7 linked regions of the Rattus norvegicus genome follow. The protein of the gene in region 6 interacts with the protein of the main gene of each other region in a biochemical or structural test. Links are inferred from orthologs where the notes say so. Each region holds a gene or a part of one and is shown on either strand. Other genes may lie near its edges.

The links.
Region 1: the proteins of Ube2e1 (region 6) and Prkn form a complex in vitro, tested with the Homo sapiens proteins (2 studies listed by BioGRID). The link is inferred for Rattus norvegicus from reciprocal best matches to the Homo sapiens genes UBE2E1 and PRKN.
Region 2: the proteins of Ube2e1 (region 6) and Trim32 form a complex in vitro, tested with the Homo sapiens proteins (2 studies listed by BioGRID). The link is inferred for Rattus norvegicus from reciprocal best matches to the Homo sapiens genes UBE2E1 and TRIM32.
Region 3: the proteins of Ube2e1 (region 6) and Rnf4 form a complex in vitro, tested with the Homo sapiens proteins (2 studies listed by BioGRID, with this or other methods). The link is inferred for Rattus norvegicus from reciprocal best matches to the Homo sapiens genes UBE2E1 and RNF4.
Region 4: the proteins of Ube2e1 (region 6) and Ipo11 form a complex in vitro, tested with the Homo sapiens proteins (2 studies listed by BioGRID). The link is inferred for Rattus norvegicus from reciprocal best matches to the Homo sapiens genes UBE2E1 and IPO11.
Region 5: the proteins of Ube2e1 (region 6) and Rnf167 form a complex in vitro, tested with the Homo sapiens proteins (3 studies listed by BioGRID). The link is inferred for Rattus norvegicus from reciprocal best matches to the Homo sapiens genes UBE2E1 and RNF167.
Region 7: the proteins of Ube2e1 (region 6) and Trim23 form a complex in vitro, tested with the Homo sapiens proteins (4 studies listed by BioGRID, with this or other methods). The link is inferred for Rattus norvegicus from reciprocal best matches to the Homo sapiens genes UBE2E1 and TRIM23.

Annotation. Positions count from the first base shown.
Region 1 is NC_086019.1:52,212,823-52,217,684, forward strand, and holds the start of Prkn (E3 ubiquitin-protein ligase parkin), read right to left. Parts: upstream 2,910-4,862; 5' UTR 2,751-2,909; coding exon 2,663-2,750; intron 1-2,662. UniProt on the Homo sapiens protein: Functions within a multiprotein E3 ubiquitin ligase complex, catalyzing the covalent attachment of ubiquitin moieties onto substrate proteins. Substrates include SYT11 and VDAC1.
Region 2 is NC_086023.1:84,019,169-84,023,852, forward strand, and holds the start of Trim32 (E3 ubiquitin-protein ligase TRIM32), read left to right. Parts: upstream 1-1,463; 5' UTR 1,464-1,520; intron 1,521-4,684. UniProt on the Homo sapiens protein: E3 ubiquitin ligase that plays a role in various biological processes including neural stem cell differentiation, innate immunity, inflammatory resonse and autophagy.
Region 3 is NC_086032.1:80,626,928-80,630,427, reverse strand, and holds the end of Rnf4 (E3 ubiquitin-protein ligase RNF4), read left to right. Parts: exon of another isoform or gene 1-846; coding exon 847-856; exon of another isoform or gene 857-1,180; coding exon 1,181-1,340; exon of another isoform or gene 1,341-1,836; coding exon 1,837-1,885; exon of another isoform or gene 1,886-2,376; coding exon 2,377-2,526; 3' UTR 2,527-2,634; downstream 2,635-3,500. UniProt on the Homo sapiens protein: E3 ubiquitin-protein ligase which binds polysumoylated chains covalently attached to proteins and mediates 'Lys-6'-, 'Lys-11'-, 'Lys-48'- and 'Lys-63'-linked polyubiquitination of those substrates and their subsequent targeting to the proteasome for degradation.
Region 4 is NC_086020.1:39,902,635-39,905,959, reverse strand, and holds the end of Ipo11 (importin-11), read left to right. Parts: intron 1-1,300; coding exon 1,301-1,465; 3' UTR 1,466-2,644; downstream 2,645-3,325. UniProt on the Homo sapiens protein: Functions in nuclear protein import as nuclear transport receptor. Serves as receptor for nuclear localization signals (NLS) in cargo substrates.
Region 5 is NC_086028.1:55,857,662-55,862,259, forward strand, and holds the start of Rnf167 (E3 ubiquitin-protein ligase RNF167 precursor), read left to right. Parts: upstream 1-1,592; 5' UTR 1,593-2,204; coding exon 2,205-2,288; intron 2,289-2,364; coding exon 2,365-2,445; intron 2,446-2,468; exon of another isoform or gene 2,469-3,355; intron 3,356-3,576; coding exon 3,577-3,702; intron 3,703-3,800; coding exon 3,801-3,888; intron 3,889-4,050; coding exon 4,051-4,141; intron 4,142-4,320; coding exon 4,321-4,426; intron 4,427-4,536; coding exon 4,537-4,598. Other genes in the region: Slc25a11 (mitochondrial 2-oxoglutarate/malate carrier protein), read right to left, coding at 173-379, 465-617, 1,142-1,236.
Region 6 is NC_086033.1:9,868,903-9,873,535, forward strand, and holds the start of Ube2e1 (ubiquitin-conjugating enzyme E2 E1), read left to right. Parts: upstream 1-1,639; 5' UTR 1,640-1,823; intron 1,824-1,913; exon of another isoform or gene 1,914-1,914; coding exon of another isoform or gene 1,915-2,232; exon of another isoform or gene 2,233-2,324; coding exon of another isoform or gene 2,325-2,327; intron 2,328-2,361; coding exon of another isoform or gene 2,362-2,394; coding exon 2,395-2,546; intron 2,547-4,633. UniProt on the Homo sapiens protein: Accepts ubiquitin from the E1 complex and catalyzes its covalent attachment to other proteins. Catalyzes the covalent attachment of ISG15 to other proteins. Mediates the selective degradation of short-lived and abnormal proteins.
Region 7 is NC_086020.1:37,045,751-37,049,905, forward strand, and holds part of Trim23 (E3 ubiquitin-protein ligase TRIM23), read left to right. Parts: intron 1-769; coding exon 770-891; intron 892-3,148; coding exon 3,149-3,427; intron 3,428-3,957; coding exon 3,958-4,140; intron 4,141-4,155.

The sequences.
Region 1 (4,862 bases), on a different chromosome or scaffold from region 6:
AGGAACAGAGGGGCATCTGCTCACAGGCTCTAGGTCCCTGGCTATGAAGAGCAAATCTACTATATGTCAGAACATAGCTATACTATTGTAATATTATATATAGAATGTATCAGAATTTGTGATATCCTGGCCTAAGGAATAATTATAAAGTAAATACACATATGTATTTATATACATGTGCAGTATCCATGAATATTTACATATAGTATTTTATAATCTTAGATTAGTGAATTGCAAATTCGTTACTTTATTTGTGACGGGGCAAGACAGTGCAGAGGTTCCTGTATCTTCTGGTCTTGATGAGGGCATTTCAGGTTTAATTGGAATTTGATCTCCTTGATGGACAATCCATGGAAAATTACCAAAACATGTTCTAGGACCCCAAGGTCAAGGTGCCCTAGGGAGTTTATCTTAGCATCTGTTAAACTGCCTCCTCTGGTGAAACCCAACTGAAGCTTCAAAAATCCAGTGTTCTGGACACACATACTCGGGTTACAATTGGGTCCCAAATGCCTGAGAGTAGTTCCAGTTGACTGGAATACAGACTTTCAATTGACTATAGACTGTATCAGAGTGGTTATCCTTGGGAGCCTTCCTGTAAGCAAAGCCTCAGTGCTGTCTTAAGTGAAGCAAGAGGCTGAGACCTGAGGGATTTGCTTCTGAGGAGAAAGGCAATCCTGGAAGGAAAAGAGCCAGAAAAGGAGTGCACAAATTCTGCCACTCACCTTGTGGTGAACCCCTCTAGCGTGAAGGTAGAAGGGAACCTGACAGAAGCTCAGTCAGAGGATAACTGTCCAAAGGTGCAGAGCATATATGCACAGTAACTTCCTATGTGCATGGAGAACCAGAGGTCCTCCACAGTGGGGGTGCCTGACAAACACTCCTTGGTGAGGAGGCCAGCAGGAAAGGGGACACTGAGAATGGCCCATTCTTCTGTGGGCTCCCACCTGAAATCCTACAACCCCAGTCTAATCTCCAAGAAGAACATCAGATAAAAAACGGCTGATAAGCATTGCAAAAATGCCTGGTCACAACTCAAAACCTCAAGGTCACTAAAGCAACACATGTCTGAAATATGATCTGAGTCTAGAAGAACCCAAGGGGATGCAATAATTAAACACAGTGTGTTATTCCAGATGAGAGATGGGAAAATACAAAGACAGAAAAAGGTGAGGAAATACAAATAAAGATAGGACCTCAGTAAAAATGAACAAACAGTACATCCGTAATAATGATTAAGTTATTAAAAATAACACTGGAGACAAGACCTAAGGAGATGGCTCGGGGGTAAATGGCTACTTTTACAGAAGATCAGAGTTCAAATCCTAGTACACATGGGACATCTCAAAAAGTCCCCAACTCCACCTCCAAGGGATCTGAGGTCCTCTCTGACAGAGACTATGGAGAGGACAGAGACTGTGGAGAGGACAGCATCTGAGGAGAGGTCAGTATCTGTAAAGAGGACAGAGTATGTGGGGAGGACAGAATCTGTGGGGAAGGCAGAGTCTGTGGAGAGGACAATGTCTGTGGAGAGGACAGCGTGTGTGGAGAGGATAGTGTGTGTGGAGAGGACAGTGTCTGTTGAGAGGACAGTGTCTGACAAGAGAACAGAGAATGTGGAGAGGACAGTGTCTGTGAGGAGGGCAGAGTCTGTGGAGAGGACAGTGTGTGTGGAGAGGGCAGTGTCTGTGGAGAGGACAGTGTCTGACAAGAGAACAGAGAATGTGGAGAGGACAGTGTCTGTGAGGAGGGCAGAGTCTGTGGAGAGGACAGTGTGTGTGGAGAGGGCAGTGTCTGTGGAGAGGACAGTGTCTGACAAGAGAACAGAGAATGTGGAGAGGACAGTGTCTGCAAAGAGGGCAACATCTGTGGAGAGGGCAGCGTCTGTGCAGAGGACAGTGCCTGTGGACAGGATAGCATTTGCTGAGAGCAGATATACAGGAGGCGAAAATGAGTGGAGAGTAGGAGATATACTAGGGTTTGATTAGCTGATATCCAATGAACCTTTATGTGTTGTCACCACTTGGAAATTCAAGAGAGCTTGTAAGTCACATGTCCTGCCTTCCCATTCCTCCCTGGTCCAGTTAGAAGTGCTTTGAACCTCATGTGGCTATATTCATGTCTCCTCATGCTCTCAGCTTCCCAGGCTGGAGACAGACCACAGATTAGGACTCTGAACCCCTCTGGTAGGTGAGAGAGTTAGTGTCCCAGGAAAGAGCAGCCCCTAGAATTTCACCATGGCTCTAACACTTCTTTATGTCCACCTGACTATGCACTGGCCTCCCTTTCTCCCTTGGCTTTCTAATTTTCCTCATTTCTGGGATGAATTCCTCCATTTCCTTCCTTAATCTCTGACTAGCACTATGAGAGATGAAGAATGGGAGGTAGGGAATGCAATTAAGAATGTATCTAACAAGAGGCCGATGCCATGGCTGTAATCCTGGCCTCAGGAACTGCTTCCTGGACTTGACATTTACCTCTGCCCTCCTTGTGACCTCTGTAACTGTGGTTCACAGTTACTCTCCTTCCATCAATCTTAAGTCAAGTAGGAAATAATAATAGTAATTACTTCATACAGTGGTCATGATAATTAAAGAAATTAATACAAGGAAAGTACAATTCTGTAAATTTTAATCATTATTTACTTTTACTAGAATCCCACCATGTCTTAGAAGTAATTGTGTTTCCACGTCGAATATGCAGTACTGATGTTTGGATAACTGTAGCCATTTCTTCTCCCGGAGTTCCATGCACTATGCTGTGGAGTGCCTAGCAATTGATCTCAAGTGATGGTGGTGTCCTGATAGCGCTATCTTTGGCTCAGATACAGCTTTCTATTTTCGAAGTGCTTGTACGGACATTATCTCAGTTAATCTTCACAGGAGCATGGCGAGATAATTGGGACAGCATTTACTATTCCCACCTACAAGATGAGTAAAGAGGAAGAGGGGCTTGCTTACTATTTACAAGGAGGGCAGAAACAGGCATCCCAGGGCTCCCAATCTCTTGCTTTTGCAAGCTTAACTTTTACACTGAACTGTTAGCCCTGGCCACAGAGGACGAAGGAGAGAGAGTAGCTCTTCCACCTCCAAAGGCTCATGTACCCTCCCAATAAATCCAGTATGCCTAAAACCATGTTCATGGTTGGTATGTTCAGAGACCTCTCCCTCTTGTCTGGTGTCTGTGTGCACCACTGCAGGTTGACCAAGAGAACAATTTATACTGTTAGTTATGGAGAAGTCTCAATAGCCTACAGCAGAGTTCTTTACCTTTACAGTAAGGTTAAGATTGGCATTAGAGAGAGTCATTTTCTCTCAGACTATTTTGTGTTATTTGGGTTGGGTTATTCTGAATTCAAACAGAAAAACAGGGGATCAGTGAATTACCACTATCATCTTCAGACAGTCTCAGACAGACCAGAACTAAGGCTACTGTTAATAATAATAATAATAATAATAATAATAATAATAATAATAATAATAAATAATTGTGATATTTTATCCAGGAAGCAAAACTCTTGGCAAAGTTCCTTTCCTTACCTAGCCTGCCTTTGCTCCACCTTCCACCCTCTTTCGTGTACCCATCCTTTCTCTTCCCCTATCCTCGCTCTCGATCGTCTACTGTACATCCTTCCACCCATCATCTGTTCATCTATACATCTTCTACCTTCCACGCTCCACCTCCCATCTCCTACCCTGCACCTACTCACCCTCCGTCCACACATCTGTCCTCTCCCCATACAGCAAATCACTCACTCACTCATCGGAACTCTTAGCCACTGAGGAATAACATCGCAAACATAACAAAGAAGGTATTCAGATACTTTTTATGGCAAATTATCTCTGATTGGTAGGACAATTTAAAAGCAATTAGTTCTACTAATCATGTCAAAAGGAAAGCATTTTCTACAAACTGCTACAGTCAAATATATAGTTCCAAGGCTTTGATATAATACCTAAAGTAAGATAAACTTAGTTACAAGTTTATTATATAAATATAATATACTTACATATAAATATAAAATATAAAAATACGTAAATATTAGTATTATTTAACAAATGTGTGTTAAATGTATAGTATTTCATTTTTCCCAATATTTTCTAAATATATCAGATTTAATCAAGACTTCTAAATGCTAGGCTAGCATACAAACTAAATGAACTGTAAACTTTCTGAGATCTGTTTGGTACACCTCCTAGAAAGTGAGTAAGTAAATAACTTATTTTAGCATTTTAAAAATAAGTGGTTCATAATTATTTTTAACAAGATTAAAATGTACTCAATTTGGTTGGAAAGTGATTGATTGGTGTATTTGTAGACAATTGATGTATTCGTAACAAAGAATTACTAAATATTTTTTGTCGTTACATTGCAGGTTTTAGACATTTAAAGAATGAAATGATGATATAATAAAACATATGTCTATATTTAATCCCTATTACTTATTAACATGTGCTTATAACTATAGAAATTAAAAGGAAAAACAGGATGATGAGCCCATTTCATTACAGCAAAGGGTAAGATACCCATATACAGATCTGTCTTACAAATTAGGAAAACAAAACAAACAAACAAACAAACAAACAAACAAAGGGCCAGGAAGATGGCCCAGTGGATAAAGGAAATGCCATGCAAGTCTGAGGACGTAGGTTTGGACCCCAGAGCCCACATAAAGCCAGCCGGGAGACTGCATGCCTGGAATCTCTGTACGTCTGCAGTGAGGGAGGAGGTAGAGCTGACTGTGGACACAGGCAGAGGAGCTTCTGTTATCAAACATGGCAGGTAACAGCCTGTGTTCCACGTCAGGTCTGCCCACCACCTTCCATCAGCCAATGAGAAGAGCCTGAACAATAGCAAGCAGA
Region 2 (4,684 bases), on a different chromosome or scaffold from region 6:
AAATACTTAAATGCATCACGGGGCGACATCAGGTAGGTGGACTACAGCAAGCTAGGGAAATTTCTTGTATCTTTTCCAGATGTTATAACATTCTCAGCTTTAGAACTATTGGAAGCTAGTGGTCTTCCACTTTAAGGATACATTCCAACAGTTTTACCTAATAATCGCAAGTCAGAGTCAAAGGTTGGTAATAAGTGCCCATTCAGAGAACTAAAGATAGCTCAAGATAAACTTGATTAAGTGTGTATACCAGGTTTCTATCCTTTCACATTTGAAGTTCTAGGCATTTGGTCAGTCCATAGGATTGCCAGCACAGATAAAATTTCTTCAGAGAACTTCGAGTCACATGTTCTCTGAGCAGGTCTTGGGAGTTCTGGGTGGCTGGATTGGCTCAGGGCTCTAGAATTATCTGAGATAACAACACTGTACTCAGGGTAAAATTGTGTGAGAACTCCTGCATCGCCCAGAAGAGAGTCCAGTTGGAGAATGACTAGCCTGGTTCAGAGTTCCATCTAAACTGATGTCCTGTGGATATAGAACCTTGGACAAGTTGGGGATGGGGGGGGGGTAAATTTGCTTTTCCCATCTTTCTGAGTTCTAGTAATTCATCAAAACAACCCATAATTTTATTTCGAGATAAAGAAACGGAAAAATAAAACAAGGTTAAGAATGCTTCTCAGAAATTAAATCCAGGTTCTGGCAGGTAGAAACTGGTTACTTTGGTCTTTGACCCCTAGGTCTCAGTTTCTTTACCCAAAGTCTGTAGTTTGTAGGCAAGTGTTTAAAGATATTACTGGTTTTGTTTGTTGTCTTATCATCAGTGCAGAGGGTACTCAGCTTGGTGGAATTTCAAATATGAGAGCCTAGTATTTCAGATTCCTTCATATTCCCAACTAGTACTGTGTGTTCATCAGGTTCAAGAGCAGGTATTACCAGTCCCCATCAGGACCTGACCAGTCACTGGGCCACAGAACTGACCATCTGATAAGACTGAATGCAGGCTTTTCCTTGTTTTCTCCCTTTGCTATCCGCCTCCATGCTGTGAGGCAAAGAAAACCTCTTTCCTAAGTGCTGTGTATTCTGTGACTCCACTATGGGATGTGTCACAGGCAGAAAGACCTAGCCTGGGGACCTGCTGCTCTTTGAAGGGAGTGTGCTCGTCTTCCCTACATAAGATTAAAAGAGGCGTCTCTCTGTAAGGTGCCAGAACTTTCTGGAGACTACTACTGAGGGATTAGCATTGACTAACCCTGTTTAGACTCTGAAATAGCGCAGAAAGCTGGATCACACGCTGCAATGGCCTAGGTTTCTGAAGCCATCCCTACCCATTTAGCTGGGCCGCAGGCGCTGGGCCGTGGGCCTACAAGCCCCAGCATGCCTCGGGAGGCGGGGCAAGTTGACAGACAGGCGATTCTACAAATTGGCTATTGCCGTGGGATGTACGCGCTAGCGCATGCGCAGGAGGCAGCGGGCGGGTGGGCTGGCAGCGGTGGACTCGCGTCGGAGCCGCGGGCGGTCAGGTAGGGGGCGGGAAGGAGGGTCTGCGATCAGGGACTGTGGTGGGTCGCGGGGCTCCAAGATTGAATGGCAGAATTTGGGGACTGGATCTGAGTGGCAGGACCGGGTTGGGGAGGGACGGGCTCAGGAGCGATTCGGCGGGGCTGAGATGCAGCTGGGGGAGGGGAGCAAAGGGGCTGAGGAAATTTGCAGTTGCAGCATGTCGGGAGAGAGGTATGAGGTAATGTGGGGGCCATGCGGAGAGACGGGGTGCAGCATGTGTAAGATGCGAGGACCTGAAGTGCCTGGAGGTATCTGGGTGCATACTATCAGAAGCAGAAAGGAATTTGGCAGGCCTGGATGAGATTGGGTGTTGGCGGGCAGAATCTTAAGGGCTTTGAGGAGATCGGTGTAATGGTAGCAAGATCCGAGATCAAAACAGCCAGAGTCTTGGAAGATCCTAAATGCTGAAGAGAAAGGGATTTCTGTAGCGGAATCTGGGAAAGATTGAGGGGTGAGTTCCCAAGGGAATCAGTACCCAGTTAGCAAATCGCAGCAAAGGTTTGAAGGCAACACGTGAGGCAGGACGGGGGCGGGGGTGGGGAGGTTGGAGGTGGCACAGTACAAGATGGGGAATGCAGATGAGGGAAAAGGTTGAAGGAGGCAGAGTCTAAGGTACAGGATTGGAGTTTGGAGCTGCCATACGTGGGTGATAGGAGTGGAAGTTTGAAAATAGATGAAAGGATGTAGGGAGTTTGAAAATAGATGAAAGGATGTACCAGAGGGATGTGGGACACATAAGAGCTATTGGTGAGTTGCAGGGTTGCAACATACACAGTCTAAGAGGTTGAATTCTAGATTTGGGATTTATTGTTGAGAATGGGGTTTGTAAAGGATTGAATGGTGGGGAGTGAATGTTGTAACTAGATTGTACAATTCAAAACCAGGTGAAATTTCTGAGACCACTAAAGGAGGTGTTTGTTTGTTTGTTTGTTTTGTTTCTTGATTTCTGCATAATTGAACCCAGAGGGTGTTCTGAAGACCCAGGGACCTGAAAGTAATTTATAAATAAACTATGCATGAATGAATGGAATTTAGGAGAATGTAGGGGTTTGGAAATAAAGACACTGGTCTTCAGAAATCCTGAAGGAGAGTTTGACATTCTCTGAAGGGCAGAGTCTTCCTCACTTGCTAACTAAAGGCCCTTTAATCCTGAGGCAGACAGGTATTCTCACTAAATCCACTCTGACCACCCCAACTTCCCCACCACAGACTCAACATTATAGGCCTTGGGGAAGAACAATAAACTACCTAGGGGCTTTGCTACTTATCCCTTTCTCTGTACCCCTAAGCCCTCAAAGGTATAAGCCAAAATTATCTTAGATCTGACATCATTTTATAGAAGGTCTATTATAGCACAAAGAGGCAGTGATTCTATGAATGAAGTATTAGAATTGGGCGAGAAACAAAACAGGGTTGGAGCAAGGGAGAGCCTCACATGTACTGAGTATTTAGACTGTATCATTACCTAAAACCATAGTTCTCAGATAGGGTGGTTTTGTTCTGCCAGGAAACATTTGACCATGTCTGGATGGAGGCATTGTCAGTTGTCATAATTGAGGGGTTGTGGGGGTCTACTGATTTCTAGTGAACAACCCCCACAATAAACTGTCACCTAGCCAGAAATGCCAATCATGCCACAAATGAGGGACCTAGCAAGAGAGTCAAGAATTCTGGGTCCAAATCCTGGCTTTTTCTCTTCCTGCTTTGAAATCTTAAGACTTATTTGACCTCTCAATGCACAAGTTTGACCTCTCAATGCACAAGCTCTTCAGAGACCTGCATCCTAGGATTGCTGTACGGACTCAGTGAAATAAATCGGGGTACTTACTGTCTAGTGCCTAGTAAGTGTTAAGAATTTACTACTCTCAAAGATCTATGTGTACTTTCTTCTCATGGCAGTCCTTCTAAATATACTTTCTATGTCCAGTGTGACACATGAAACTAAGGCTTAGGAGATCACTTGTGTAAAGCCACATCACCAAAACTGGCAGAAGTAAACTGCCGTGTAAATTGCCACCACAGAATCTCCCCTCTTGCTTCTTTGCTGCAGTCGTCTTGGTCCTCCCTTTTCAGACTTTCCTAATGAAAAGGAGGCTTGCCCCATATTCAAAAGTGGGGTGACTTTTCTTGATCAGCAGAAGCCCTGGACTTTGTTCTTGCTTTGCTCTTAGACCAGAACCAGTGGGGAGATAGTGCAAGGAGTTTGGAGCTACGAAGCTGAGATAAGAAGACTCTGGCCCAAGGACAGTGCTAGACTGAAGGAGACTGCTCTGAATACCCTCCTTTGTGTATTTTGGTCTCAGGAACAGAAAGGTAGCATTGTCTTTATCAACTCCAAACCTAGCTACATTACAGGAGGCAATTTCCTAGTTAAAATCAGACTGGAGCTGAGGGCAGAACACTTGACTGTGATATCCACACAGATCACTTCTGGAAACACATGATGGAGCAGGTTCAGTTAGCCTTGGAATCAGGTGTTTTACTGCTTGTTTGGTGGTCAAGCACTAGTCAGCCTCTGTCTATAAACAGAGTGAACTCCACTGAGTGCTGACTAGTGTACATTCTCTCCATAAAGCTCACAATGTAAATGTTGCTCTTGATTCCATAAGGTGGGAAGTTAATAGGTAAGTTGCATGACATATCCTGGGCTTCAGAGCCTATGGCTAAGTGGGCATGTGAATCAGAAGTCACAAGTTGGCAAGCCTCCTAAAGTATGCCCCTCCGTATGCAGATGGTGTTACATTTTGAAGACTTCTTCCATTGTGCCTTTCTGATAGGACAGTATGGTTTAAAAGTCATTCCTGGATGAATTTACCCACCTGTTAGCCATATCTTGCCTGCAGGTAACAGTAGTCATATCCTCTATGAAAGTACATGTTTCAAGTGGGCCCTGTTGTGGCATAGTTCACATGTGGGCATCTGAGGGATGACGCTACTACAGTCCATGGTGGTAGAACCTGGACAGGTTACTTTTTTCTGAGTGTTAATTAGGATGTGGACTAACACTTCCTTCACAGAGTTAAGAGAACACATGTGATGTGTAGAAGGTGCCTGGCACTCACTACCCCAGGTGGCAGTTAGAAGATATGGTTTTAGCTATTAGCAGGCATCATAAGTGCCCCCA
Region 3 (3,500 bases), on a different chromosome or scaffold from region 6:
AACTGACCTTGGGACTTTGAGACAGGGTTTCTCTGTAGTCCTGGCTGCCTTGGAACTTGGTATATAGACCAGACTGGCCTTGAACTCCTATCCACTTGCCTCTGCCTCCTAAGTGGTAGTGTTAAAAGTATTAAGAAGCCTTGCACCACCACAGCCAGTTAAGGCCAACAGTTTTGCTGCAAAGGAGTCCAGATGAAGGGTATGACGGAGTGACACAGGGTTGGATGGACACTAGGGGACTCATGTTTTGTGCTTTTCAGAAGTGCTGCATCCTGTATGGTGAAAAGGAAAAACTTACAGCCATTCCTCCCATGACTTGAATGTTCTCCTTTTCTAGAATGTGGCAGTAATCTGAGTTGAATTGGTAGAAATTGTCAGTGTAAAAACTGAATGTGGTGGTACACACCTCAAATCCAGCACTTGGTGAAAGGCAAAGTTGGGTCTGAAACCAAGATCATCTTTGGCTACATTAATGTGTGTTCTGAGCTACCTAACAAGTGTTTGTCTAGTTCTTGTTAACAAAAGGCTGACTCACGATAATACCTAATTGATCTTTTATGATGTTAATAGCACAAATCCTTCTCCAAAGGCTGTTATTGTCTGTTGGTAGCAATGAGCTTTGCTGATTATTCTCAGAGAGGCATGTTGACTCACAGATGCACTGACCTGGAGATGTCTATAGGTGGTCTGTAGAAGTACACGTACATCATCTCCCTTCCCTGGGAGTAAGGGAGCACTGGGAAGCCATACATATATACTAGATGCAAGGTGTGTTTTATCAGAGAAAATGTCAGAATGTTTATAACACACTCTTCTCTTTTTCCCTCCCCTGCCCTCCATCTTCAGATTGTTGAAGGTAAGCTGGTTTAATTTCTTTTTTCTCTGGGTTGTTATGAATAAATGCCATAGCATTGCAGGCTGTCCTTCCAAGACCTTTCGGCAGGAAGATGCCTTTGGTCAGACTTGCTGTTTTACTGACAATCTCTGCCATGCTACCAGGGGCTGAGCTTTATTCTAAGAAGGCAAGTGATGATGGGCCTCTATGCCTTGATAGGACCTGAGGGCAGAGCTACTATGTAGCAGTTTCTCTCTGGAGAGCTCAAGGGGAGAGAAGGTCTTCAGAGGCATAAGAGTAAATGGGATTAGGTGAAGGTGGCTGAAAATGTGACTTTTTCCTTAGAAAGGAGAAGGCCAAGGAGAAATGGGAGGAGGTTGCGCCAAGACCATGCTGACAGCTGTGTGGTGAGCAGTGATGATGAAGAACTGTCTAAGGACAAAGATGTATACGTGACTACCCATACTCCTCGAAGCACCAAGGATGAAGGAACTACTGGACTTAGGTAAAGTGCTCTGTGTTACTGTGTTGGGTAGAGGCCAGGGTTACTGCATATGCAAACAGGTATGTTAGCTCTTGCTCCAGAGCACAATCTTCCAAGCAGGTGAGCACATTGGGAATACAGGGTTGGGCTCAGCTGTCTGCTCAGGATAGACAGTTGGTAGATAGAGCAGGAGCCAGACGTATCCACAGTTACCAGGTTGTCACAGATGGGGGTGGCTATAAGGTGTTACAGGTGCCACTAGCAACAGTGCTGGAAGTAAAAGAGGTGGGCAAGCCTACTTAACCACATCTTTTATTTAGACCTTCTCTCATTCCCTTTTTCAATGGCCGTTGGAGCCCAAACCTACAGTTACTTTACCTTTGTTTTTTGGGTGCCTGTCCTAACTCAGCAAAAATGAGAGATTTGGTAGAAGATATAGACTGTGTATTTGAAGTTGCTTTACAGGGTATAATTGAGTACTTTACTTAGAAACTGATGCAAAGCATTGTGATTTTAGGCCCTCGGGCACCGTCAGTTGTCCGATCTGCATGGATGGATACTCTGAGGTAAGCAACCTACTTCACTCAAAAGAACTTGGAGGATTTGTGCATTGTGTGGAATTTGATACCTGTCATGAGGCTAATTTGCAAGTGTATGTGTCGGTGGTGGTGGCACATTTTATCTTTAGCCCTTGTGCAAATTGATGTTTCCACTCCAGCTTTAACTAGAAGCTGCTGGCTTTTTTTTTTTTTTTTTCTTCGGAGCTGGGGGCCGAACAGGGCCTTGTGCTTGCTAAGCAAGCGCTCTACCGCTGAGCCAAATCCCCAACCCCGCTGCTGGCTTTTTTTTGAGGTTCCTCATAATCACTTTGTACTACTGCACTTGGCGAAGTCCTGTCCAATGAGACTGTTGTATATGCCTCTGCCTTTTCTGGTATAACCCAGCTCCTTTGTTTTACTGGTCTCCTTGTAGAAAAGGGGATACTTTAAGGCTGGTTTTTTGTTTTTTTTTGTTTTTTTAAATCTTTATTAAAGGCTGTTCTTTTAATGTCTTCTAGATTGTGCAGAATGGGCGTCTCATTGTTTCTACAGAATGTGGCCACGTCTTCTGTAGCCAGTGCCTCCGTGATTCCCTTAAGAATGCTAACACTTGCCCAACTTGTAGGAAAAAGATCAACCATAAACGGTACCATCCCATTTATATATGAAATGTTCACAACTGCTCAGGATAGACCAATGGACAGACAACCGGGCTGGCTTTTCTGCATGGTATCTGCCTCCAGTTTCCTGAGCTCAAAAAGACTTTCAAAAATCAATGTCTGATGTAAACTGGTCTTTTGTTTTCCAACCCCTTACATCCTTTTGTTATCTCCAGTTTGATGCTATGGAGCACGATCCAGGGATCCTCCCAGATCAGCTCAGCATCTCTGCCCCTCTGGGTGGTCTGAACCCAGAGTTGGAAAAAAGGAGTCAGGCATATTGCAGTTGAGCATCATGGCTCTAGCCTCTTTGTGGAGCTTATGTGTTGGTCAAGAAGTTTCCCTGTTGGGAAAGTTTGCCCCAGTTCTTGTGGGTGCAGAACATTCCCAAGGCACCTGCCAGTTAGCTATTCTGCCTGCCAAACAGTGACCTGGCCAGACAGTCCATCTAGTCCAAGGATACCAGTACATAAACTGCCCGTGAAACAGCCTAGCTGGTGGACTTAGTTTTCCTTCCCATGAGAGCAGAGGTGACCTGTGATTATGCCTGAAACTTATCATTGATGTGCAGTGTTTTCTGCAAATCAAGAGACTCTGCAGGGCAACCTGTTTCCTAAGAATGAGAAAGTGCAATAAAGCCTGTTCTTCACTTGCTCTTCAGCAATCTGGAAGATGTAGCACTGCTAGTATCCTCAGCCCAGTGTTGCCTGTGGGAGCAGTGCCCATCCCACCCCATCTCTATTCACCAACTGTTCTCAGGAACCCTACCCATGCTCCAAAGTTCTTTGCCTGGCACAGAGCATTCAAAGCTAATAGGACAAGCAAGTATTTGAGTGTCTTTTCTTTTCTGCTAAGATGTGTCCTGTGTTGTCTACAATGCCCTCCAACCCTCAGTTTTTCAGTTCCCACTGCCTAATGTCTGCCCAAGCATAGATACCAGGAGGTGGTAGCAGTAACAATGGCCTTATCAGCTGTTCACTTAC
Region 4 (3,325 bases), on a different chromosome or scaffold from region 6:
TCTGTCATGTTGTAGGATGACATCTTCAGCTCACGGATGAGGTGCAGTCCTCACTGCTCTCTCTCATCTGTCTGACAGGGAAATGAGGATTGATGCTTTTCCTTATCTTGAGTTTGTTGTATACTTTGCTTTGGTAATGCAAGGGGCATATATCCTTTTCTTCTCAGTTGTATTTTAACATCTATATGACTCAAACAGAAGTTATAGATTGAATTGAGCAACATCAGGGAAGGCATTCATAGCTTTTATTGAAAGTTATATAGATGTTCATGGTCACTGATGGTGAAATAAATTCTCAGCTTATATTGTGTTGTTTGCTGTTACAGTTATAAGTCATTTAAATAATATCAGTGCCAACACAGTGTTAGCTACTTAATACTGTTATGTCTTTTATATTGGTACAAACCATAAGGAAAACATGCTGATAGTCCATATAGGAGTCAGAAATTTTTTTTATGCTCTAGTAGTTCTTTAGATTCCTAGGAGAACAAGGTGAAGTTCTGAGCACAGTGGCATATGCCTACAGTGCCAGTGTCAGAGGCGAAAGCAGCAGTTCAAGGCAGACCGGAGCTGCAGCTTCTAACGTGAGGCGAACCTTGACTGCCTGAGACCTGCTCTAACAAAAGAAAAGAAGCTGATGTATAAAGAAAGGCCACTTACACAGTAACACAAAGCAGTGTGGTGTATTCAGCAAACTTATAGATAAAATTGTTAAACTACACTGTGGTCTTACATACGTTTAACAGGTTAAAAAAACATGGCATACGTTAAAATACTGAACATGTGTTAAGAAAGAATTTTGTGATAGTATGAAGGTGAAAAAGAGTACTAATGTATAGCTTATAGTGTGGACATAAGTAGCATAAAAATATTAAAAATTGAAATTTTTTTTGATTTTCAAAATACTGTAATGGGACTGGGGGAAAAACAAAATCTGACACTTCACCCCAACCTAAAAACATCGGCACAGATTAAATGGTGTTGCAGTGTAAGCTAGAGCAAATAGTGTGTGCTTACTTCCTGGGGCTGCTGTCATGGAGTCTCTGTCCTTAGGAGGTTGGGCAGTCGCTTTGGTACCCTGTTTCTTTTCCTTTTATGGTGCTTTCTGCTAAATTCTAGCACTTTAAAAGGATGTGTTCCCAGTTCTTGAGAAACAGGGTACATCAGAGAGACACACTTGGCCCAAAAAAACTGTCCGCAGGAGAGTCTTTAGAAGTGCCGCTGTGAGAGATTAGAGAGCACAGTGAGGCGTGTGTAGGGTTGTCTGTCTTACTGACCCTGTCTGCCCTCTGTCCCACAGCTGGCCCTGAAGGACCCTGTGCACACAGTGTCTCTGCAGCAGTTCATCTATGAGAAGCTCAAAGCACAGCAGGAGATCCTGGGGGAGCAAGGCTTCCAGTCCCTCATGGAGACGGTGGACACAGAGATTGTCACCCAGCTGCAGGAGTTTTTGCAGGGATTCTAAGGCGTGCTAAGTGGCCGCCGTCCCTCTGAGAGAGGCCGAATACCCCAACCTGCCATCCGGATGTGAGCCTGCTGAGGAGGTCATTTGTGTATGAATATAAAGAAACCAAGACCATACATTTTTACTATAAAATATAAAGAATAAGTATAAATCCCAAATATTAAAGTCAGAAAACTATTCCTCAAAAGAATTTAATTTTATATTTATGAGGGGGCCCTGTGTTTACTAGAGGTGCATTTATCGAGAGTAGCTGCATTGCCTCTTGTTAAGAACCTCGTTGATTACATTTTAATCATGGGCTCTTAACACTCGAGAAGATGAAGGCTGATGTTCCAGATGTTTTCAGCAACCCGAATTACTTATATTTGGTTGCCTTATCCTAATTTTTTTAAGCTAATGAAACAAGTTTGAGAAATGAGAATGCTGTGTAAATGACAGAATTAAATTTGTGCATAGGCAAACATCATGACAGCTGCCCACTACCTGGGTATCTCACCAGGGAGCTGTTTTCATCAAATCAAATGCTTTTATTTTCATTCTAGTAGTCTGACATAGGAATTGGTAAAGGCACTTTTAACTTTACTTTGAGTGCATACATTGCAAGGCACATGGAAGTGAACCTGCAGTACTGTAGTGCCAAGTGGGAGACCACTGGTGAGGCTCTAGCCCTGGCTTCTTTGCTACATGTGAAGGCCAGTAGCCCTGGGAGCACCAGGAAGAACCAGATAACTCCAAGTCCCCTCCGCTGTGACAGTCATGCTTGGCTGTGACAAGCTGCCCAGTATTTACCCATCTCAGGTTCCTCAGTGCAGGGGTGCGTCAGCACTTCAGTGCCATGGGTGCACCTCAGAGGACCCAACAGCAACCCCCAGGGTACTAGCACTGACATAACTAGTCTTCCTTCCTATTCCTCCATTGCACTAAGCATGCGAGGGGGAGAACTGACGCCTTACTTTGCATTACTTGCCATTGTGAGGAACCTTTAGAGCATCTCTTAGGAAATACTCAAAAGCAAGATTGGAAATGTCTTATCTTTCTATAGAAATTTGGGTACAGTGTATAACTGTGGGAAAACCACTACCCCTCTGTAAGCTATGGAACCCATAATGTCTACGGATATATGATGTTTTCAGCAAAGAAAGAAAATATGGTCCAATTAAATTTTCCAAAGATACCTCACCTTTGACTTCTTGCCTGTTTTTCTTGCCACCTACCCTCTGTAACAAAAACATAAAACAGTTCATTAAAATGACTAGTGGGTTACAAAGACAGTTCCTTTTACACTATGGTTCCACTTCTCCACCCATAGATGGTACCAGTACTTCAGTATTCAAATCTTCACTTGAAGAGTGAGCTTCTTGTTGGAGTAGGTGTGGCTTTGTTGGAGGACGTGTGTCACTATGGAGCAAGCTTTGAGACCTCCTAGGTCTCCTATGCTCAAGCTCCACCCAGTGTGGCAGTCTCCTGATGCCTGCAGATCAAGATGTTGACATCTTAGCTCCTTCTCCAGCACCATGTCTGCCTGCTTCCCTCCACAATATGTACTAAACCTCTGAAACTGTAGGTAGCACCAAGAAGTGTTTACAGGCAACTTCTTTATAGTAGTTGCTGTGGTCATGGTGTCTCTTCACAGCAATAAAACCCAAACTAAGACAACCACTGTACACAGCAACAAGATGGACATAATATCTTCTTTTGGCTTAATTATTTCCCTTTGAAGCATTCTCAGCTATGTCACCAGAAATTCCCAACACCCGTTCTTGGCTACAGAGAATCATTACCTTCCCCCCAAGCCCCCAATATGGAAAGGTTTAATGAGAGAAGAAGAGTAGAAGAAGAGAGGAAAGGCCAGCCATGAGC
Region 5 (4,598 bases), on a different chromosome or scaffold from region 6:
TGGGGGAAGGGCAGGGAAAGGCCAAGATCAGGACAGCCCATGGTCCATAGGATCAAAGAAAGGGAAGCCTGAACAGTTAAGTGCCCTGATGTAGACAAAGACAAACGACAACAAGGAAATCATCCTAGATTCCAGGAATGGGGCTGGAGTTCAGCTTAGCCGTGGAACTCACCGGCCATCAGCAGTCATCCTGATGAGGGCCACCTCAGCTGGTGTTCCCACAAATGCACCAGTTGCACCTGCAGTCATGCCAATCAGGGCTTTCAGGAGAAAGCCAGGGGGTGTACCGTCAGCCCCAGTCAGGCGCTCAAACAACACTGTATATATACCAAGACGTGTAGTGGTGTAGGTGGCCTGGCGCAGTAGGCCGGCTGACAACCTGTGGAGTAGAAATGTCAGCACATCCGGCCAAGGTCTGAACCTGCCAACCAGCAACCTCCCTCCCCAACTTGAGGCCACAGTACCCAGTGTAAATGCCCCTCAGCCCTTCTGCCTTCAGGATGCTAGTGAGGGCATGGAAACTGGTTTTGTACTCTCGAGTCTTGGCGCCTTCACCACTCAACTGCATCCGGTTCTTCACCAGGTCCAGGGGCTGCACAAAAACGGTAGCGCCCATCCTTAAGTAAGACAGGGAAGAAATCAGAGGTCAGCTGTTCCAGCTCTACTGTAACCTGGCAGCAAGAAGTTACAAAGGTCAGGGACTGACATGCAACTAAGGATTCAGGAGGCTGGTGGGAATGTGTTTAAGTGTGTGCATCAAGGGAAATGTGCCAGAAAAAGTCCAGTTGCCCAGTAAAGACCACGCAAATCAAAATACTTCGGGCAGTTCTTTAAGGTTCAAGCAGAATTAGGACTACAGGAAGTCTAAGGAAGGGTGGAAAAGGTGTCCTATGATAAAGCCTTTAGTGGCCTCGACCCACAACCCAAACAGGCACAGTGAAGCAATGGTGGTGGAAACACGGGGCAATGACCCTTGAATACAGCCCAGTTGGGCCCCTGCAATGGGTGAATAGATCTTAGCAACCCATCAGGGACCCCGCACCGGCTCAATTTACTGCAACATACTCCCAAGTTGCACTGGGCCCAGTTGCTTGCTCCCATCCCTTCCTCCTTTTTCCCCAATCCTGGGGCCTGAGCTTACCCAGCCAGGCCCCCAAACAGGAACTTGACAGACTTAGGGGAGGTACGGGGTTTCCCGTCCATCCGGCCAGCCCCGGGACTCGCCGTCGCCGCCATCGTCCCTTGATGGCCCTCGGCTTTGGGTCCCGTGCACGCACAGCCCCGCTCGCGCCCAAGGTGACACCAGCGCGCAACAGGGGGAGGGCGCGCGCGCGCACGCCCCTCCGACAGGCAAATCTGGCTCCAGCTGGAAGCTAGGGCGGGCGCAGGCTCGTAGCGCAAAGGCAGCCGGGAATAAGGCGGGGCTAAGATGCAAGGCGAAGGGGCGTGGCCGATTTAGGAAGCTACCCTGTAGCTCCCGCCCCCCAGAATTGGAATCGCGGGAAAAATAGTTTGTTTGAAAATATCGCGAGAGCAAGTGAGTCAGTCGAGTTCGAGCTATGAGGCCTCTCGCGGTAATTTCCAGCGGCGAAGGAGGGGGTAAGAGGCTGGTGAGCATTCTCGCGATACTTGAACGTATCGCGGCGGCCAGAAGAAGGAGAGGTTTGTAAACAGGTAGCTCCAAGATCTCAGGGACTAAGGGAAAAAAATTAGATCGTTTGCTGAGCACCGGAGCTCCCTTCATCTCCGCAGGCACGCTCTACGTGTCGAACATTTCTTTCAACCGGCCTTTTTGGACCGGAAGTCCTCCGTCCTGAGCGTCCAATACTGGAAGCGGCCTTTCTTACCGGAAATCCTTTTCCAGGGGCATAGGAAGAAGGCCTACCTGGCCGGAAGTCCCACCTCCTTGAGATTTCTCCCACCCAGAAGTTATTTTTTGTTACCTGTTTGCCTTCGTTCCTATTCTGTTCTACTTCTGTACCAGAGAAAGATACATTGTCTCCCTTTCCACCTCCACTAAGCTGGTTTGATAGCTCACTTCCCGAATCGGAGTTCCTTCCCCGACGCCCCCATGTAGCTGAGAAGTGGGACCTAGGGGTGGTTGGACCCCTGGGATCCTGAAGGAGAGGCAGAGAAGGCGCAGGACTTGGCTTCTGCTCCTGCTATCAGGACGCGACCTTCCCAGCTTTACCCCTCCTGCTGCCATGCACCCTGCGGCCTTCCCGCTCCCTGTTGTTGTGGCTACTGTGCTGTGGGGAGCAGCCCCTATCCGAGGGCTTATTCGAGCGGTGAGTCTGAGGGTCGGATGGGGAAAGGGTGTTGAGAATGGGTTTCAGACTGGAAAATGTACTGTTTTATCTGCAGACTTCGGAGCACAATGCCAGCATGGACTTTGCAGACCTTCCAGCTCTATTTGGGGCCACTCTGAGCGATGAGGGACTCCAGGTGATGCTTTCCTCATTTCCCTACGTGTATCCTGGGCAGGGGTTAAGTATCCGTGCTCAGGAGGTAGGAAATGGTTGAGATAGCAGTGGAATACATTGGACTGTGGGATACAGTTCAGTGATAGGGTGCTTTTCCTAGTATGAGTGAGATTCTAGGTTGAATCTCCAGCAACCCTCCCCTCCCCCGAAAAAACATGTGCATGATCGTGTCCAGCCCAGAGTCCAGAATCTAGAGATAAAAGACAATGTCCACCCCTAGAACTCCCAGGTATTTTTTTACTTTATGTACTTAGGTGTGAGGGTGTCAGATCCCCTGAAACTGGGAGTTACACTCAGTTGTGAGCTGCCATGCCACATGGGTGCTAGGAACTGAACTCAAGTCCTTTAGAAGAACAGCCAGTGCTATTAACCACTGAGCCATCTCCAGCCCCTAGAATTTCCAAATTTAAGAGGAAGTCTGAGAACAGGTTAAGATAAGGAACAGGTGCTTATCAGCCATGTCTCTGGAGCTACTTACTATCTGCATGGATGGCTGTGGACAGTCTTTTATTGGAAAACAAGTAATAGAAATTAGTTTAGGGCTATTGTGCTAACTAGTGAGATAAGCATGTCTGTAGAGTTCATTACGAAGTTCTTGCCACATAACTACTGCCACAGCAGTAGAGTTGTAAGATGGCTAATTGGAAAACGAAGCAATTGAATATGCTGTGAAAGTCAAATAAGTAGCAAGCTGAATCACTGTCCCTGGGAAACTTAAAAGCAGAACTAAACTAGCCTTGAGAAGTCAAGGGAGCCTCTGGGTAAAGGGATGTTGTTTACTGTAATTGCATCTTCAGGAAGCTAAGAGATCTTTTCTGTTTTTTTGAGACTGGACTCTAACTCTGGCTGTCCCTAACTCACCGACCGTGCAGGTCAGGCTGGCCTCCCAACTCATTGCACTCCCACGTGCTGGGATTAAATGCATGTATCACCATGTCTACCTGAGTTGTAGATTCTGATTTGGGTGGGACCACAAGAATGAGTAATGGTAGAGTTGCCGAATACAGGTAGTATGTGTACTGTTATGTTTAGTAGGTCCTGTGGAAGACAGAATACTAAAAGATGGAAAAATCTGTTTGCCTTTATCCCTCAGGGGTTCCTTGTGGAGGCCCACCCAGAAAATGCCTGCAGTCCTATTGCCCCACCACCCTCAGCCCCAGTCAATGGGTCAGTCTTTATTGCACTGCTTCGAAGATTCGACTGCAACTTTGACCTCAAGGTTGCTGAATGGGGAACGGGTGGTAGTAAGCAGGGTAAAATGACACCAGGAATGAAGAAAGGCAAGGTTTGCAACTCTGTCCTGCTTTGTCTTTTTAGGTCCTAAATGCTCAGAAAGCTGGGTATGGTGCAGCTGTGGTACACAACGTGAATTCCAATGAACTTCTAAACATGGTGTGGAATAGTGGTGAGGATGAAGAAGTCTGTACTGCTGGGTCTCTCCATATAGTTCAGTGGGAGGGCTAAAGACCTACAGGGCAGTTGGTTGAGACCTGCAAAATGTGCCTAAAGCCAGTTTCAGGGGATTGAGGAATGGAAGGTTAAATCCCTAATCTCCTGCTCCCTACAGAGGAAATCCAACAACAGATCTGGATCCCATCTGTATTTATCGGAGAGAGAAGTGCAGAGTACTTACGAGCTCTTTTTGTCTACGAGAAGGGGTAGGACATATGCTTTCTTCCGTCTTCTTTTGGGTTCCATGCCAGTCTGGAACCCAACTTCACTGCCCTATCCACTCAGGTTCAGGGTCTTCCTCATCTGTTTTGATTTTCTCATTTATGCCTTGTCCCAAGCCAGTAACCTTAGTTTGCCTGGCTTGAGACTGTCTTTTTTTCCTCAGGGCTCGGGTGCTTCTGGTCCCAGACAATAGCTTCCCCTTGGGCTATTACCTCATTCCTTTCACTGGGATTGTAGGACTGCTGGTTTTGGCCATGGGAACAGTATTGGTAAGTACCTAAGGAAAGAACTTAGAAGGTCAGACTGGATCTGTAGATGGGAGGTCTTATTGGATTTTCCAGTTATTTCTTAAGCCTGGTCCACTTTTCCTTACCCCTAGATAGTTCGTTGCATCCAGCACCGGAAACGGCTTCAACGGAACAGACTTACCAAAGAGCAACT
Region 6 (4,633 bases):
GCTATTTTTATTTATTCATTACTGACTTTTTAGTAATATTTGGGGGGGGGGGGACACAGGGTCTCAATATGTATCGCTGGATGGCCCAGAATGCTATACACATCAGGCTGGTCTCAACAGAGGTCTGCTTGCCTATGCCTCCCATACCTGAGTCACCATGACCTGCTGGTATTATCATTGATAAGCTCTTCCAGCACATACAAAACAAAACACTTGTGGAGATTTCTTCTAAATTTATGTTTGCCTGGCAGTGGTGGTGAACACCTTTAGTCCCAGCACTTGAGAAGCAGAGGCAGGTGGATCTCTGTGAGTTCCAGGCCAGCCTGGTCTGGAATTCCAGGACAGCAAGAGCTACACAGAGAAACTCTGTCCCAAACGGGGCAAATCATTTGCTTTGGGTAGTAGAGGAAGGGTTCTTTCTGTTGAAGGAGGTTCAAATGGTGGCCTAGGAGAGGTCTTATCACTAATCTTACACACGATTTGAAGACAACTCTTACTAGATGCAGGTTTCCTTGAAGATTTGAGTGGAATAAAGTGTGTAATTACGTTATGAATCTTAACACAGCTGGAGTTTCAGATGGACAGCTAGAAGGGGTTTAGCTGGGTAGTGAGAATGCCTGCTCTCCTGGCTACTGTCGGTGAGCTTTCTTTATATCCTGTGTGGTAACTGAAGCCAGGGTTGCCATGGGAGGCAATTTGAATGAGGTCATTTAAAGTGGACCATGGAAATCTGAGTGCAGTTGTCTGCCCAGGACACAAGATCTTGTGTGTGTGGACCTTGTACTTGGATGGCAGGGGTCTGTTCCCTTTAGGGTAAACGACAAACAGGTAAGAAACGAAGTCCTAATTTAATGGTGGGATGTTTTTAAAAATAAACTTCGGTACAGTGCCACACAAGGAACAATTTAGTGACATTACTGTGTAACTATTCTAAAAATATTATTTGAATAGCATCATATTGGAGTAAAGAGAAAGTAGGGTGCTTTCTAGAACTTTTTTTTTTTCCAATTTCTAAGACTCAGACATTATATCTAATCTAAGAATTCCAAATCCTGTCAAAAATCATCGGCTCATGGTTTATTTCCAGTGATATTACAATCCCATGCCGGGTCGTGGTTATCTGTCACGAACTCCAATCGCATACATTAAAAAAAAAAAAAAAAGTCCACATTCTTCTCTATAAGAAGTGAAGGGCAGGGGGGAGGGGGGTATCTAGTGTAAAATTGCACACGCCTGGTGTGTCCTAAACAGAAACCCGTCTGGGTTTTTTCTCACAGGCGTGACCTCTGCTCCAAGCACGCAATTGCCAGAGGGAGGAACAAGTGTCAGCCCAAAGGAAAACCCTGTTAGGGGATTTTCCCCCCCTTTCTTTACAAACGGATCACTTTTGGGGAGGAGTCAAAGTCCTCGCCAGGAGAGTACCACCTTTTCCCTTCTCCGGCCATCTCACCCCCCAGCCCTTCCCTAAAGCCCTCCTGGGAAGAACTTCCCCTGGTCACCCCGGTTTCCACCGGGCCCAGTCGTCTCCCAATCCCGCCCGGCTGCCTCGGCTCCGCCCGGCGCCCGGTCCCCAGGCCACGCCGGGGTCGCTCGGGGCTCTGGGGCCGCGGCCCCCAGGTGCGGCGGGGGAGGGGCGCGGGGCGGGGCGGAGAGGAGGAGTGGCGCGGAGCGTGTGCGGCCGGGGAAGCCATTGCCTGGTTAATAGTTGCTGTTGCTGCACTTCCGCTTCTCTCCCAGCGAGAGCGAGACACGAGTGGCCAGGCCCAGCCGCAGCCGCAGCAGCAGCCGCGGCGGCGGCACGGAGCAGCCAGACACAAAGAGAGGTGCGGGGGGCCCCCGGGGCGGGCGAGCGGGCCGCGGGGCCGGGGGCGGACGGCACCGCCGGGCCACAGGCAGCAGGGCCGGGCGGCGGGGATGGGGCGGCGGGCCGGGGCGGCGGGGGCCGCGCGAACTGTCAGCGGGGCCCGGTCCCCGCGGGGACCCGCCCGCCCGGGGCGCATTGTGCGCGCCGGCCTGCGAGCGCAGCCCCGCGTGGCCGGGCCTGGCCGGGCGCCGTGTCCCCGCGGCCCACGCGGCCCACGCTCGGCTTCCTCACCCACTCTGGCTGCTCGGCTCGTCCGGACCTCACCAAACTCGAGCGGACGCCGGGAGGCCTCAGGGACGGCGGCGACGGCTCCTGGCCCTCCTCAGGCCACCCCCCGCGCGATCGCGGCCCCCGCGTCTCTTCGGCCGGTGCGGCGGTGGGCCCGGAGCCTCTGCAGGGCGGCGGGGGCGGCCCGGCCCGCGCCCTCCTGACAGCGGAGTTCCCTCTTTGCAGCGCCTGCATGGTCTGTGTTTCTGTTTTGTTTCCTCCCCCTGCAGGGGCCGTTCGCGGGGTGGGGTGGGGGGTTCGCTATGTCGGATGACGATTCGAGGGCCAGCACCAGCTCTTCCTCATCTTCGTCCTCCAACCAGCAGACCGAGAAAGAAGGCAGCACCCCCAAGAAGAAGGAGAGTAAAGTCAGCATGAGCAAAAACTCGAAGCTCCTCTCCACCAGTGCCAAGAGGTATCCCACTCCTTTCTCCACAGACATCTAGCTTCCCGGTCGCCTCGTGCTGCATGTCAGGGAGGGAGGCTTCAACGACGACGTTCTCAGGCAGGAAAATGGGGCACGGGAGTCCCACCTGTTTTCTCTCCTGCTCGCTGCTTCTGGTTTTGTTAAAGCCCATGTCCACAAGCAGGAGTTGTGGTTGGCCTCGTCCGTTTCTTGTTGGGAGTTTCAAGAATCCTCATTACTTTTATGAGTGACTCTCGCAATGTGATTTCAGAGTCCTCGTTCTAGTAATCACGACTTCCTAGAGGCTGTCATCATACTTCATTATTAAGCATACCTTCCTGGGCAATTCTGTCAAGACGAGTTCTGACCATCTTTCTTCCTCTTCACCTGTTGCAGGGGTTGTGTTTTCTGAACTGGGTTCCCCCCCCCCCCCATACATTACTTAAGGAATAACTAACTCCCATTAGTGGTTAAAGAAATTTACGTGATGTTTTATGGCGGCATTTGAAGAGCCTCTGCCTGTTTGGAGAGTTGAGGTAGTGAAAGAATCACTGAGTGACTGTAAACTTATTTTATTTCAGGTATTTTGGGGAGATTTTTTTTTTTCCTTTTCTGTTTAAGAACTTCAGTTTGATACTTTTCAGGAAGACTTGTTTATTAGACAGGGTCTCTTGTGGCCCAAACTGGCCTTGAACTCAGCACAACTTCTGTCTCAGCCTCTTGATTGCTGGGGTTACAGAAGTGAGTCACTTACTTCAGCCAGCGATAGTCTTTTGTGTAAAAAGGCAGGTAGATATACTTTACCTCTGTCGACCTTAAGTCACATTCTCTGATCCCTGTGATCCTTAAAATAGTCTCTAGCAGGTACCTGGGAACTCCCTGACGTCCTTTCATAACTCCTCTTTTTGTTGAGATAGTTGGCCATAGTAAGGAACAGAAACTGTGGGCTGGTGGGGAAGGGCATTCTCTAAAGAATTTAAATGAAGTGGAAGGTCTAGATGGCGTTGGATCTCTCTGCTGAGTAGTGAGCCTGGCACTCAGAGATTGACAGTCTCATCTGTCCTTTTCCCTGACCTGAAATTCAGAAACTTGGTGTGCTGTCTTAGTGACCTAACCGGACTGATATATGGTGACTTCAGTCATTTTAAATGGTTAGTGTTCAGGTCTCGAGAGCAGTGTTGATGCTTTGATAAAACTGCTCTGGGTTTCTCTGGTTTTTGGTTATATCTCAGACCCTCCAGGGTCTTTGATGACCTCCGAGAATCTCCCTGAGCCTAGAGTCCATCCATCTTGCTCTGGATGGCCTTTCTTGGTCACTCTCTGTCTTCTTAGGCTCTCTGTTTCACTTTGGCCTGTCCTGCCCTAGTGCAGGACATGAGCTGTGATGTCAGTGGGGCTTTTGCATTAAGCTAGAAATCGGTGCGTTTGTGACTGTGTTAGGAAGAAAATGGACAGGTATAGAAAGTAGTTTGCATTTTATCAGTATAGCACAAATAAATAGATTTCTCCATAGATATAGCTTGTCTTGTATGCTTAGAAGGCTAGAAACTTAGTTCTGGGTGTAGTGGTACAGGCCTTTGATTAGCTCGGCCCTTGGAAACAGGCAGGTAGATGTCCTGTGAGTTCAGTCAGCCTGTTCTATAGGGAGAGTTCCACGACACTCTGTCTCATGAGCAAAATACCAAGCAAAAAGTGTAAAACTGTGGTAGCTCAGATGGGAGGGTGTTGGCCGAACAGGCATGAAGCACCACCAGGAATGGTAGCACAGGCCTGTAATCCCAGGGCTATGCCAGGTAGGATCAGTCTTCCTTTCTCAAGGTCTCTGGAGGGTAGGAAGAGGCCAAGTATAATGCACTGAGCCCTGCTGCCTTTAGCTGGACCTTCTTCTCCTGTCAAAGGGGACACTGAATGTTGACTGGAGAAGTTCCTACCCTTAGAAAACCGTTGGGACTAGATGGACGGCCACTGCCATTCCTTGTCAGCCTGGCCTACGAGGGACAAGTTGGGAGCAGCTGGTAAAGAGACATGGCAAGTAGGAAGGGCAGCTGGGGATCAGCAAGTGACGGCTTTACCTGCAAGCCAGTGTGCTGAATGCA
Region 7 (4,155 bases), on a different chromosome or scaffold from region 6:
AGCTAACCTTCTTCTGCCTATAATATCTTTAAAAAGAATGAAGTAAAACACAGCAGTATTTTGCATGCTGCTGTAAAGGTAAATATTCATTTGTCAAGGTTTAAAAAACAACTATTAATGTTTGTTTATATTTGGCATTCATTCTTGTATCTGTGTTCATACGTGTGACTGCACTTTTATCTTCCTGTATGTAGGTGACCAGGGTAGATATTGAGACTCTTTGGGAACTGGCGAATATTGCTAGTCTTGCTACTGCTTGCTCCAGAGATCCCCTGTCTTTACATTTTAATGCTAGAATTACAAGTGAGCACCATACCCACTTGCATTTATATGGGTTTAGGGGACCCGAACTCTGACTCTGACTGAGTCATTTCCCTAGCCCCTAGTTTGTTGAACTTTATTTTTTCTGGTCTGTATGTATGTGCGTACATGTGTTTGTGTTTGTGTGTGTGTGCACTCACACAAGTGTGTTTATTCCTGGATTGTGATGTAAAATGTATTTCTTACTGTAGGTAGCTGTAAAGAAATATTTGAAAAATATTGAAATACTTGTTTTAGTTTATATAGTAAAAGTGAAATAAAAAGTTTGTAAGGTATGTGTCTACTTGTAAAGGTGAGAAGTTCTTTGTTAACGTTAACAAGCCCTTTTCCTGGCAACGTTTAGACATTATTAATGACTAAACTATGTGTGTTAGAAATCTTAAGGTATGTGTAAATTGACTAAACTTCCATTTTGTTACATTTACTTTTGTTTTCATATTTGTTCTAGGAGATTCAGGTGTCTGGGGTTTGAAAAAAAATTTTGCTTTACTGGAGCTTTTAGAACGTTTGCAAAATGGACATATTGGTCAGTATGGAGCTGCAGAAGAAGCCCTTGGGATATCTGGAGAGGTACTCATGGACCTTGTTGAAATATTTACTTCAAGATGCTTTTGTAATCCTAAAATGTTTTCCAATATTTGTACAATATTACCTTATTTGCTGTATCTGTGAGAATTTAGGAACACAAGTTTTTATGACATTACAATTCTAAAGTAGCTACTGTTCTCAAAAATAAAACAATTAAATTTGTTGAAGTTCTTTGTCTAATCTACTTTATGAGAAACTCTTCCCTCCCACAATTTAGTTATGTGTGAGGAAAAACCTTTAAGGTAGAACATTATAAGAGAATAAGAGAAATGTTTAATCTACATTAGTACAGAAAGTTTAAAGCTGAGCCTCAACAGCACAGTTCAAGAAAGGATAAACAAACGTTAGGAGAGACCATTCAGGTTAGAGGAGAGCTAGTTTAAATGTAACAGTGAAGGCTGAGGAAGTTGCTGCTATTAAATATTTTCAAAACAGTAAGAAAAAAGTTAAATGGTATGATTGATGTATGCTATCCCGACAAGCAGATATCTGGTAGGTATTGCCAACAACAAGTGACAACACATAGGTAGCATTTTAACAGTTGTTTGCACAGCTTATTTAACAAAGGAAAGATCTGTGTATAGAAGAATATTTGTAGTGAATAACTGTTAATAGTGTTAGTTTTGGACTTTAAAAACTGAGTATTTGATTTAAGAAGAAAAAACTCCAACAGATTAATTGTAACTTCCCTTTGGTGATTTCTTTCTATTTATAATGAATTGGAAAAATGATTTCTGAATTGAAGCATTACTCCTGTATAAAATTTCTACAAGTCTTTCATATATTATATCTTCTATCTTTATTTTAAAAACATTAGAATATTATGTACTGTTGATCTCATAAATTATTTATAAGGTCTAGAAAACGATATGAGAATTTTATGCTACAAATACACATTATTATTGCAAAGTAAATTGTTTCAATCTTTGCATTAAGATTTACTTTGATAATAAATGATATCATTTGTGTATTATCTATTATTTCTGGAAGAATAAACAAATGTTTCCTTTGCCAGTTACAGCTTTTTAATATTATATGGAAGCTTGCAAAGCATTCCTTATTATCTAGAAGTTATTTTATACACGTCAATGCCTTTTAGAAAGACTTTGGTATGGTTCAGTGCAGAGTACTTCATTACTACGGAAGAAACCCTGGGTTTAAGTACCTGGACCACAAACAAATAAAATGCTTTGTGATACTTAAAGTTAAAAATAATATTTAGCAGCTGACATAAAGGGCTTATTAGTTCTTTTCTAAATCTGTGGTTTTAGTCATGATTGTAGAAATCCATCCACCTATGGAGCTGTAGCCCATCTTAAGGCAGGGCGTCTTGTGTTTTCAAGCTAATTCAGTACCTTACTATCAGGTTATTGATGCAGCATAGTGCTGATTTTCTTTCTTTGCATAGTCACGGCAGGTAACTAAAGCATTGGGAATTTAAGTCCGTCTTTAAGAATCATGTTTCTGTGGTTCTGCTTCTGAAAATTTAATGGAAGAGGTCTTTGCCTTTTGACTCTATGAGATGTCTTTGTATGTAGTTCAATGGCAGCCCATTTGTCTGGCATTTATAAGGTTCTGGTTCAACCCTCAGCACTTGGGGGGAAAAGGGTATTCATGAGAATAAATTTACTTTTGCTTCAAATAATATCCTGTGTTGATAATTAGTCTCAGAAATAGCTTATTACTTAATAATTTTTAGTGGATAGGTGGCACATGACCTTTATACTTACCAGTATATTTTCGTTATTTAATAAAATTTGTGTGAGGCCATAGATGTTTACTGAATGCTTGTTCTGGGCCCAACAGACCAAACCAATACAGAGTTTAAGCTTAGTTTAGTTAATCGAGGAAGTTGGACTTTGGGTGGTTGAAGAACTCCCATGACCAACTAGCTAAGCTGTATCCAGCTGATGCGTTGAGTAAACTGTGGCTAGTTGTTCTCTGTGCCCTCCTTCTGTTTTGTAATGTGTTATTGCATCATGGATTAATGTCCAGAACTCCATTTGACTCTAGAAGCCACATATTTTGAAGATCATTTGCTTTGTTTACTTTGGTTTTCTTCATTCAGTTTCTTAGTTCTTTGTTTCTATTTGGAATGATTGACTTAACAAATTTCCTTTATTAATATCATATGTGAGCCTGGTAAGTTAAGTAGAAAAGATTGTGGGGTTTTGTAGTTCAAAATTTGCCATGCGTTAATGAGTGGTTCAGTTTTAAGGCATTAATTTTTATTTATTAGAGTATCATTCGCTGTGATGAAGATGAAGCTCACGTTGCATCTGTGTACTGCACTGTGTGTGCGACTCACTTGTGCTCAGAGTGTTCTCAAGTCACACATTCTACAAAGACACTGGCCAAGCATAGGCGAGTGCCTCTAGCTGATAAACCTCATGAGAAGACCATGTGCTGTCAGCACCAGGTACATGCCATTGAGTTTGTTTGCTTGGAAGAAGCTTGTCAAACTAGTCCTCTCATGTGCTGTGTCTGCAAAGAATATGGAAAACACCAGGGTCACAAGGTACGCACTGCATTCCGTCGGGTGACGAGTTATGTCACCAGCTTTCGTTGGCCTGTTTGCTTATTCAAAGACAGAAACAAACTTTAACTTTTGAAGACAGCTAAGTGACTAATGAGTTAGTATCAGTAATGTGGAAAGAGTTGAGAATTTTAATTTCAGAATGGTATTTCAGAGAGACTTTGTGATTATTTCTAGCAGGATACAGAAAATCTCATCTTTATGTGCATGTGTTTATAATACACTGTACTGCTCTGACAATGTATCTATTGATAACTCTTATGATTTGGACAATCTCTTGATTTCTTGTATAGAAACCATGAACAATACTTGAACTTCCAAATTCTGATTTCTCTGTAGTCTGCCTCTTAAAAAGAAGTGAAAATAAATTTGTATTTTTTGTCTTCTTACACTGTACTTGTTTGAAAGCTACTGTGACAGATGTTCATTTACATTAAAAGGGTTTTAAGTAGTTTTTGTAAATCACTATACACCTTTGTGAACTCCTTCCTACAATTGTGTTGTATGTATAGCACTCAGTACTGGAGCCAGAAGCTAACCAGATCCGAGCGTCAATTTTAGACATGGCTCACTGCATACGAACCTTCACTGAGGAGATCTCAGATTATTCCAGAAAATTAGTTGGGATTGTTCAGCACATTGAAGGAGGAGAACAAATAGTGGAAGATGGAATTGGAATGGCTCACACGGAACACGTATGGATTCTTTTC